Linked DNA regions of Neodiprion lecontei. The protein of the gene in region 2 interacts with the protein of the main gene of each other region in a pairwise test. Links are inferred from orthologs where the notes say so. Each region holds a gene or a part of one and is shown on either strand. Other genes may lie near its edges.

Region 1 (5,622 bases), on a different chromosome or scaffold from region 2:
CGTGTTTGGCCACGCTCGTTTAGCTCCGCATCCATCGTTATGGCTCGTACTAAGCAGACTGCTCGTAAATCCACTGGTGGCAAAGCTCCCCGTAAACAGCTGGCGACCAAGGCAGCACGGAAGAGTGCACCGGCCACGGGTGGCGTTAAAAAGCCGCATCGGTACCGTCCTGGTACCGTTGCACTTCGTGAGATCCGTCGTTACCAGAAGAGCACTGAGCTGTTGATCCGCAAGTTGCCGTTCCAACGACTCGTTCGTGAAATAGCCCAAGACTTTAAGACCGACCTGAGATTCCAGAGTTCTGCTGTTATGGCTCTTCAGGAGGCAAGCGAAGCTTACCTTGTTGGATTGTTTGAGGATACTAATTTGTGTGCAATTCATGCCAAGCGAGTCACCATCATGCCTAAAGACATACAACTGGCTCGTCGTATTCGTGGTGAACGTGCTTAAATAGCTCTGCAATGAGCCAATAATTAACCGGCCCTTTTCAGGGCCACCAAAATAATTTATGCACAAGAATTGAATCTACATATATGCCGAACATGAATTTTCGTTGGGCTTATCCAATTTAACCAAATTCCTAAAGCAAGTGAGCTGTTGCAACTTTTGTAATAATGCAACGAACTTCGAATTTTGTTTATTCTACCATTCCATCGAAATCGACTCCGTACTTGCCAATCATTATATTTTAATTGCTTTCGAAGTAGTGCCCTCGTCAATTACAAAGTTGCGTGTAAACATCCGAACATCAAGGTTCGCGTATCTCAAATGCGAGAAGGCATGAGAGTAGCCCCCATTTTATTGAACTCAATTCTGAACAAAAACACTCGGATACATCTTCATTTGACACGATTTGATAGAACATGGTGTCTAGTAGAAGATACGTAACGAATTCTAAGGCATTTTTAGGTTATTCAAAACATGCAGGAAAACTAAAAGACGTATGCAAAAGGCACTCTACATAATCCAGAAAGACAGCATACATTACTTCTACTACACCTGTTAATAGGGAAAAATACGATTTGAAGTGGGAATCCACTTTTTACAAACAGTTACTCAGTGAACGTCAATAAATATATCATTTGCAGCAAACTTTAAAAATAGAATATTTCCAGGATACAACAAAAAAAAAAAAAAATTCAAAGACATGTCCAGGACCACAGGACACCACGGAGACAGTAGATATTTTGGGTCTGAGAATGGGTAATTCAATTGGAATTACGGAATTAAAAAATGTAAATTGACCAATGGATCGCATTTTATTTTGTACTTATATTGATTTAACTAATTTATTTCGGTAATACCATACCGGCATAATTAATTGGAAAGCATCGAAAAGAATTCATTAGTAAAAAATATATTGATTATAAATAAAATTGATTCTGTAGTAATATATAAAATATGCAATCTGTAAAAATAAATCTACAGGTAAAAAATTAAATTCTTGCAAAAGTACATATGCAAATATCTGGAATTAATAATGTATAAATCTGAAATTAAAAAATTTCATTCATGAAAAGAAATCATGATTGCTGAAAATAGTAAAAAAAAAAGAGTTTGCGAAATTGAAATGCTGCTACGTATATCTACCACAAATTAAATGTCATGATTATATTATAAAAAAATTTTAATATTAATAATAATAAACATGAAGATAGTTCAAATTCAAGATTTCCCAAGATGAACTTGTTCCAACTGAAGCTAGCTGAAAAGAGAAAATAAATATGTAGTTTATTGTTTGTGTCCTAAATTAGGACGGGAATGGAAAAATTATATTCATGATTTTCAAAGACAATAATAAACACATGGCCGATATGTCAACAGTTGGTTTTAAATTAATTAGGAAGAGAAAGGAAATGCAACATTTACGATAAAATACGATATGACGTTTCATTCTTCCTAACCTCAAACGAAAAGTGTCTTCAGCTCGTAGGCTAAGCGATTGCAATTATTGTACGTACATCGACGAGTGTCGTAACTGCGTGACTTTATCACCGAACTTACAGGTAGTCAATTCACACGCGAAAATTATATTCACTCGTCTCGATCAGCGTAAGCAGTGCAAAGCTACGCTTGCATGACGTGCGAATTCAGAATGGGTCGTAAAGCCAATACAATCGCATCCGGTTGAACCTCAACGCGTTCGCACACGAAAAAGAGAATACATGGACCCTGAATGAAGTAGAAACTCGACAAGACTGCAATCCTTAGGATTTATAACAGGCAGACTGTCAGCTTCAATTCTTTTTTGTAATCGTTTCCGAGCATTGAAATAACGGCAGATTCGTAAATTATCGACCTAGCTCCTGACTAGGCCGATGAAAGTTCTTCATAAACTGTCACGTGCCAACGTTGGTAATAGACTGTCCGTTGTTCTCTATACATATACCGTTTACCAACTAGAGTAGCGCGTACATATAAAACGCAGAAAGCACCGCTTGACGATAAATTTCTTTCATTTTTGCTTAGGGAAAACCCTATAATGCTAGCAATCGACGGATCTACTACTTCCTGACGTTTTAGTGAACGCGAATCGACTCGCTGGCTAAAAGATTTGATAGTTTATCGAAGATCTATGAAGACGACAGAAATAAATTTTCGTCTGATTTTAGCAACTATCTAGTATCGGCAATACGGATAATTTATAACTCGTAATTTGCTCTTCAAAATAACGATTTCCGAAATGTTTGGCATAAATTTTATGTATACACCATCAACATGAAAACGTGCGTACGATCAAATTTGTTTTGCAAAAAATTTTTGATGGTCCTGATAAGGACCGTTTTTTTTGTGTTGATGCTGCTGCTTGCTGCTGCTGCTCACTGCTATTGTAGATGACACCTGTAAATCGAAGCGATTTACTTCTTTTTAGGAGCAGCCGCTTTCTTCGGTGCTAGCTTGGCGGTTTTCGGGGCAGCTGTTGCCTTTTTCGGTTTCGGTGCTTTAGGCTTGCTTGTAGGTGCTTTAGCGACTTTTTTGGCCTTGGAAGAGCTCTTTGCTTTTGGTGGTTTGGCGGCCGGGGATCTAGCGACTTGACGCTTTTCCTTTGTGACAACACTACTAGCAGCGCCGGTTTTTTTCGCTGCAGCTGCTTTCTTGGCGGCACTCACCTTCTTATTAGAAGAAACGGCTGAGGGGGCAGCCTTCTTCTTGAGTACAGTTGGTTTTGGTGCTGCTGGTTTTACCTTGGGTTTGGAAGTCTCACTCTTCGTAGCAGAAATCTTGAACGAGCCAGAAGCTCCCTTGCCCTTGGTCTGAACTAAAGCTCCAGTGCTGACAGCAGCCTTCAGGTATTTCTTGATGAAAGGTGCTTGTTTTTCTCCGTCGATCTTGTACGTAGCTGAGATGTACTTCTTAATAGCCTGCAGAGATGAACCTCCGCGTTCCTTCAGAGTAGAAATTGCAGAGTTGACCATCTCAGACGTACGAGGATGCGCCGGCTTGGTACGAGGTTTCTGCGATTTCAGAGCAGCGGCACCTTTCTTCGCTTGTACAGCCGGACTGGTTGGAGTAGCGGCTGCTACAGGTGATGCTACCTTGTCTGCCATTACTGCGGATTATTATTGATGTCGAATTAACTTGAGAGCAATTATTTAGATGCGAACAAAACAACTGATGCACGAGTTATGACGATACTGCCAAGTCCCCACCCAAGCTATGCCCGAGCGCGGACCATGGAGAGAGGCCTCAAGCGTTTCACGTAGTACGCGCAACGAGTCTCCGAGCTGGTGGAACCGGGTAAGCGGACGATAATCGCTCTTCCTCAGCTTTCCTGGGGTTCCTGGTGGTCGGGCTTTTGTCACCAGGTGCTCCATACTTTCGACAACGGGTTGGAAAAGATTTCGAACGAGTTCTTGTATAGAATTTCTCGAAAATTGCGAGCGGCTGAGACTGTGCATCTCCGCTGCGATCGCACCCTGGTCAACAATTGCTACGTTTCCGACCTAGGTGACGGTTACTGGGTATAAAATTAGGTGATACTTCAAGTCAAAGCTTTGCTCCAACTCCATGCAAAAATTCAATTTTCTAGGTCGACCTGGAGCGACGATATAAGCCGTCGAAGTCGGAAGGGATGCGAGCAACCTCCATCTCGGACGACGCGATTTGCTCGAACAAGATTCGGCTCGACATCAGCAAGGATGAATGCCATCCTCGCAGATAATCATGATGACAATAGTTTTTGGATAAATTAATTACGAAATTTTCCTCCTCGAATTAATTGCCGTGCCGATAATCCGTATATAAGTTAATAAGCATGTGGTGCTTTCGGTTGATGTAGGTGCAGGTAAATGGATTCAGTCATTATAGATTGTGGAATGAACAATCCAATATTGCAGCCTGATATAAACAGAGCTATTTTAATTTCGATTGGGGTGTCTGATGTTTCTATTCCGTAGATCCCATTAATACATTCCATATACTTATATCTAATGCTGATAATTATTTAGAAATAGATCGTTGAAGCTTTTATTTATTTGGCGTGTATTCTCATTATACGTCGATGGTCCAAGTTAATTATCTGAAAATGTAAGACCACCATCATATTTTTATGATAAATATTTCAATAACGCACATTACGGTTTTTCGATATACCGTTTTCTACTTTCTTATTAGGTTTTTCTGCAAGCGTTTTATGGCGCCGAAATATGTACCATGTATGGAAACAGGGTTAGGTTTCGACAGGTAATAAAATATCAGATCGGAAGAATTCGACAGGCTCGATAAATTATATTTTGTTATAAGAAATTCACATAAGATTCCTTTAATGGGTAAAATAAAATACACACATCAAAAATTAATTGAAAATCATGGAATGTGACGTGATTTTAAAACAATTATACCAATAAGTATAAGATACAGTATATTCATTAGTTATCATCTCAAGACTGTTACGAGCCATTGATTTAACATTTTCAACATCAAATCCGAAATTCGGATAATTTCCGACAATATATAAATTTTATTATGGTCGATTTCGACGTTCGACGTATATGTATATCTTCGAATATCGAAGTCCACGTATCTCCCGATCGAACGCAAAAAAGACTTAACAGCTCCATTCTATATGCAATTTAAAAAAAAAACAACACATTTTTATTTCACAGAAAAATTAAGGAACGGATGAATTCTACGAATTTACTAATGCGATTTCGTAGAATTCGTGCAATTTATTTATTTCTGCGTCAAATGAAAATGAATTGGAGGGTTTCTGTTCGAAATTGTGTATGGAGTGGGACGTTTAAGCCGGTCGTTTTCGCTTATGCGATACATGGACTTTGATGTTTGGAGATACATACGTCCACGTCGAATCCGACCAGGGCACCCCCTTAACCTATAATAGAAGAGTGAAAGGGTTACAATACAGCTATAATCATGATTGAGAGTGGCATAACGTGCTACGGATTCTGAAAATCGACTGAAAATTTGTCAACGGTTGGTTAATTCCTTAAAAAACGGTTGTAGCTATAAAATTGTGAATTTTTTGATGTAGGTTTATAAAGTTATCGATACAGAAATGTATAGGTTACGAGGAGATTCTAAACGGCTTATTACATGTATTACATTGCGAATATTTGTTGGATTTTCTCCACGCTATTGGTAGCAGATGTCATGTATCATCAT
Region 2 (5,622 bases):
TATTTGGCAATTTATAATCCATTATCTTTCCTGTCTGCTTGAAATTCTTCATAAGACTCTCCATCTCCATCATCGAAGGATAGTAATTGATCTGGTTTTTAAACGTGTCAACCAGTCCGGCATTTGAATTCTCAAAAGCTGCCAACAGTTCGGCACAGTTTGTCAAATTCGAAAGTGGTTCCCAAGTGTTAAAGCTGTCGTCCCAGCCTTTCCACTTCACAGCGTATACTTCAACTCCTTTTGAATATCTTTTATCTAATATTCTCTCCACCTCGTGTAAATCCTCGCGATTGTTCGAAGATTTTATACTCGATTTAAGTTCGTTTATCTTTGTACCAATATCTTCAAGTTTTATCACTGCTTCTTTCAAACTGTACTTCGTTCTTTTATCTACTTCGACTGCCACCAAATTCTCAGCCTGGATTCGCCCCTCAATTCCCGTTGCCGCTTCTTCCTCGGGTATACTGGGCGAATTCTCACCGTTTGTTGTCACAGTGTGAATAATGTCGTCATCATCCTCGTTGTCGTTGTCATCATCGGTGTCGTTATCGTTATCACCCTCGCTAAGCCGTGGTATCTTGACAGGACGCTCTGCGTCAGAGCTCCGAAATATAGCACGTTTTTTTGTAAATTGGGACGTACTCGAGTTGGAGATCGGAGGCGGGCTTTTATCCGCAGGATCTGCCTCTTCGACACTGTTTTTTCCATTTTCTTTGTTGATCGCCTCCGCATGGTGTGGCTCTGTAATGCCAAAGATTTAAACGGCGTGATTCATCCGTTCTATTTCATGGAGGAGACAAAGATTATTTACTTTTATTAAATCGATATTTCTTTCACCATTTCATTGTTTTGGTGAATGATCCGTTTCTATTTTCGACCCCTGTGCTTTACTTTAGGATTCAGCACGAGTGTTTCTTTTATTTATTCATTTATTTTTTTTTTTATTTTCATGACACGCCAAATTTTGCACCTTCTCTTATTATAGGTACCGTTTTCCGTTCTTACATGCTATTTTTTCCTCTTCGATCTTCTTTATTACTTCACTTTCATACGTGGGGTTGCTTCCACCTTTTTTTTTTTTTTTTTGCGCTTTTCAATATCTTTTACTTTTATCCTCATTAACATTTGTATCGCCTTTGTTCTTCTGAACGAATTTTATTTAAGAGAAATGAGAAGCTTTGCGACAAAATTTGAATGTCTAAAATGAAACACCGTCAAATATCTCTCGGATACGGGCAGAAAATTAAAAAAATTGAGGACTGTGGTAAAGTTTGCTCAAGATTTTCGAGCTACACATTAATCCCCTATTTCCCTGAAAGTAACCTATTTTTCACAAGACCATAATTTTTACGGTTTCATGGAGTGTCGTTATCTACGGAATACTTACGCTACCCCCGAATTATTTCGATCCTACATTTAGTTGAAAATAGAAACATTATTCTCAACCATCGAATTTATGTTTTCAATTCATTTTAGTTTGTACAAAAAAAAAATCAATATGTAGCGAAGATTTAAATGTATTGTACATTCAAAATTTCAGTCATCCTCCGGTACGTCTGAATATTGTGCGAAAATTTTTATATTTACAGGGGATTTTATTTTTCTACAATTCAAACACATTTTTGGGGTACAATTAAAAAAATTTCAAAATTACCAAAATGACGTACACCCTAGTGTGTATCTAATTTTGCTCTGTTTGGTAAATACTATGAAAAAATATTGAAACCCTAATAGCCCGTTATTTTCACAAAGTGTTTCTCTATTTTTCCTAAAATTACGTGGCTTAAAAGCATTGCGAACCCTGGATTTTGTGTGAAATTTCGTTGATTAAATATCCTGACCTTCCCGACTGTTGGATACTATTTTTAATAATGTGCTATGTATTTAATGCATGCAATGAGATCATTTGATGCTATGAGTTGTTTCTGCAAAGTATCAACAAGTAAAGTTTTGGGTTGAAAAATGAGTATCCATTCTTTGTATACAATCTCCAGTTGATTGAAACAAGATATGTTCACATGAAGACATTCGTAGGAAAGCCTAGGTTTTGGACAGTTCTTAGAAGTCAATAAAACTTAGAAGCATTCCATGTCCTACAAGGTTAGATAATTGAAAGTAATCATTCAGGAATAATACGATAATGACTTAGTTAGTACTTATTACTAGTTATAAAAAAATACCATCATCAACTAAATTTTTATATTAGACATTTGAAATAATTTCTCAAGTGAAGCATACCGAGTTTGATGGTAATATTTCTTTCCAGCTCATTTTTAAACCGTACAGTTTGCACGCCTGAAATGGCTTTGACGATTGTTGACTTTCCATGGGCTACATGTCCGATCGTTCCTGTGGAAAAATAATGAAAATTGTAATTTAATCAGCTCTGAATGCTAATGGTATTGAAAACATAATAAGGTAATTTTAATAATTAGCATTCATGTATAATTTGTCGTTTCTAATATTTTAATAACATCGTTTAGATACTTCTCACAAAAAATTGTTCTTACCAATGTTTATCGTCGCCTGTCGGCTGATGACTTCCCGGGACAGTGCAGTCAACTTACCAACATCCTGAAATAAAAAAAGGTTTATATGATTTCACGGTTAATTTCAGTACCAAATTTGTCTTATTATCAATAACTTTCTTAAAATTCTTCGCATAAAGCTTTCAAATGAATACTATAAAAAAATCAGAAGATATCACTCATGTTTTTACTCATTCATCATTTATATTGATTTCTAAACCAGCAATATCTGAAAGCAAGTCTCTAAACTGGTATTTAACAAAAATGCGCTTGGAATTCTTTCACTAAGAAACAAGGTGCATTGGTTCTTTGCTAATCAAAATTGGTTACAATATTTACTTTGGGTTAAATACACTTATTCCTGTAGAGCGGTGTGAATATTTTTCGTTTGCACTATGAATCCATGAGTTCTAAACCTACAACATATTGTATGAAAAAACTATTCCCAAGTCCATCTGACATTTGAGATAATGAGGTGATTGATTCCTAACCTAGCGTCGTTTTGTTTCTATCCCATATTCAGGTGAAGGAATCCGTTAATTCAATGCATTTGAATAATGCGTTCCAAAATTGGACGGATATTTTTTTTTTCATTTGTCATGTGAAATCGCACGTTCACGTAAAATCGCTCCATAACGCGCCACGATTCGCTAGGGGAATGTGGGGAGCTCGATTACAGTTAGTTGATTGATTGTAAATATGATAATGCATGGATAGCGAATTTCAAAGCAAAGTTTAGGCCCTACGAAGTTCTTAACCAGCCCTAAGCCACGCCATTATACGGAACCGTGTGTAAGGACAGCGCGTGAATAGATGTTTGAGGTTACGTTAAAGTGCTGTTAAGCGAGTTCTCCGAAAATTAATCAGTGCAAAGCATCGGCCGATGTTTCGAAGCAATAATTGAACATCGTCAAACTGGAATGTGATATCCAGGGGATAAAATATGTTTGAGAATTAAAGCAGCAGTGGCAGTAGCCTGTACAAAATATGTCGGCTAAGATAATCTAATCGAGGCGGATAGCTAACGCCGGAACTTACGAGCTTCGATAAATCTTGCTTGTATAAATTAGGCTGCCCTGTTGTAACCCCGATGCCTTCGTCACCTCCCATATTTGCGATTAACTTTAATTAATAAAAAATCTCTAAACTATTTAGAGTCTAGGCTCGCGGCTGGCGGCGCTAAAACTTGGAATTGGTGACAACGGGCGACAGGGCAGAAGCAGAGATGCGCATGCAAAGAACGCCGGAACTCTTTAGAATCTTGTCGCCATCTGGTGACAGTTTTTCGGACACAAACTTTTGACGATTCGTCATGCTAGGTGTCCACAGCGCTTCACTGGTGGCTGCGAGCCAAAACTTTGAACAGGACTGAAACTCTCATTGAAATTCGATTGAAACGTTAAATAAATAGTTGACGTACTATAATTATGCACGTATATATAAAAAACGAATGAAGCATTTAGTTTTCCCGACTGTACAACTGATTCTAAAAACATATTATATGCAAATTTCTGACGGAACAAGGTAGATGGAAATCGTCGTTATGTCAACTGTTTGGTCTATGTATCGATTTAAACAATCATTTCAAGCACATTATAGTAGATTTAATGCGTAAGATAAATCGATGGTGACATTGAAATTTGACCTGTGCATTCATGATTGTGTGTGCATACATACATAAAATCACTGAATAGATTGCAGCGTGTCTAATACCAATGTATTAACGCATTACCGACGGAACGCACAGCATCTGCGTGGTTCATGGCATAAGGTGAACGTCGCAAGAAGGGGAGAAAGATTTCTTATCCACTCGACTTTCCCTCTAAGCCGCTTCGATACTCGGCGGTCTTTTCTGTTCCTGGCGTGGTCGGCTGTAGGTGAGTTAGAATATGTTTCTCTAATTTTCATTCAAATACTTAACATTTTGCGGTATTTAACGCCCTGAACGACATTTCTATCTATCGAAACTGCTTAACTGCTGTTGTAAATGCGCGAAAACGATCCTGCTGTGATCCAATACTACTTTTACCTAATCCTGACATTTGCCACGTTTTTCTGCCCACTTGGTCGGTCCAGCGCGTGCTCTTCTCCATTACAAAATGCATTGGCGATACCGCTGATGACTATTGAAATCTAACGATCTTCAACGGTAGTCGCTGATTTGTAATAGAAACATAGCGAAATGTATGTAATTTTAGCTAAAGGTCATATGTTTTTTCGCAGCATTCATTTTCTACAAAATAACCTCCGTCACCAATCGCCCACATGCTATTCTCACGGGGCAGTGTTTGGCGAACCTTTGGACTCTAATCCAAAGTATTTCATGAAATAGTTTACATCAAACTTACTGTTTTTTTTTCTATTATGTTTTGATATGTTTGCTTTTTGCTGTCATACAACAGTTTTACTTCATTGATTCGGGTACATCTTTAGCTTATGCGTAACATTTGTACCGGTACAAGTTTCGCGCTCTACAATATTACCACAATCGCTAGTCTGCAAATCTCAATATTTGTACGATCACGCAATTATATTATAAGACTCGTACGTTTTAATTCAAGATTTGGGCAGTCTGGTTGTAGCTGCTGAAGTTGTGAAAGCAAATATTCCATTTACTCAATGAATTTGAATAATTTTATATCAAAACTAGATATTTTCAATTAGCGTTATTAAATTGAGTTTGTTAAGAAGTTATCACAAGTTGCGTCAATTTCAAGAACCAGAAATCATGGCTTTGTATTCCTTGGCTTGAAGTGGGGAGATCGAAGAAAAAATAATTGTTGGACAGGTAATGTCTGTGTATCTGTGAAATCGACGATTGAAAAAAAGTCTAAGGTAAGTTCTTTGCTGTAAAGAATAGATCAAATTTATTTGTAAATTTTCAAACCAAGTATATATAAAATATGTAATTATCAATTAGCCAACTGTCCAAATCTGAACATCGACATGTGCTAATTAAAAGACATAGAAATTTTCTGTTTCAGCAAGCAGATGTAAGAAAACAAAATGCCACAAAATGAGTATATGGACCGTTTCCGAACCTTGTATGGAAGGCGGCTTGACTATGAAGAACGCAAGCGTAAGCGAGAGGCTA

What was found. The genes of interacting proteins can lie anywhere in the genome.
Region 1: the proteins of histone-lysine N-methyltransferase SUV39H2 (region 2) and histone H1-like interact in binary tests that used the Drosophila melanogaster proteins (3 or more experiments, as listed by UniProt). The link is inferred for Neodiprion lecontei from reciprocal best matches to the Drosophila melanogaster genes Su(var)3-9 and His1:CG31617.

Annotation. Positions count from the first base shown.
Region 1 is NC_060263.1:38,371,253-38,376,874, reverse strand, and holds histone H1-like, read right to left. Parts: upstream 3,612-5,622; 5' UTR 3,549-3,611; coding exon 2,859-3,548; 3' UTR 1,905-2,858; intron 1,706-1,904; 3' UTR 1,238-1,705; downstream 1-1,237. Other genes in the region: histone H3, read left to right, coding at 40-450. UniProt on the Drosophila melanogaster protein: Histones H1 are necessary for the condensation of nucleosome chains into higher-order structures.
Region 2 is NC_060264.1:30,371,423-30,377,044, reverse strand, and holds the start of histone-lysine N-methyltransferase SUV39H2, read right to left. Parts: upstream 3,783-5,622; 5' UTR 3,639-3,782; coding exon 3,567-3,638; intron 2,575-3,566; coding exon 2,511-2,574; intron 2,350-2,510; coding exon 2,239-2,349; intron 742-2,238; coding exon 1-741. Other genes in the region: ribosome biogenesis protein NSA2 homolog, read left to right, coding at 5,535-5,622. UniProt on the Drosophila melanogaster protein: Histone methyltransferase that specifically trimethylates 'Lys-9' of histone H3 using monomethylated H3 'Lys-9' as substrate.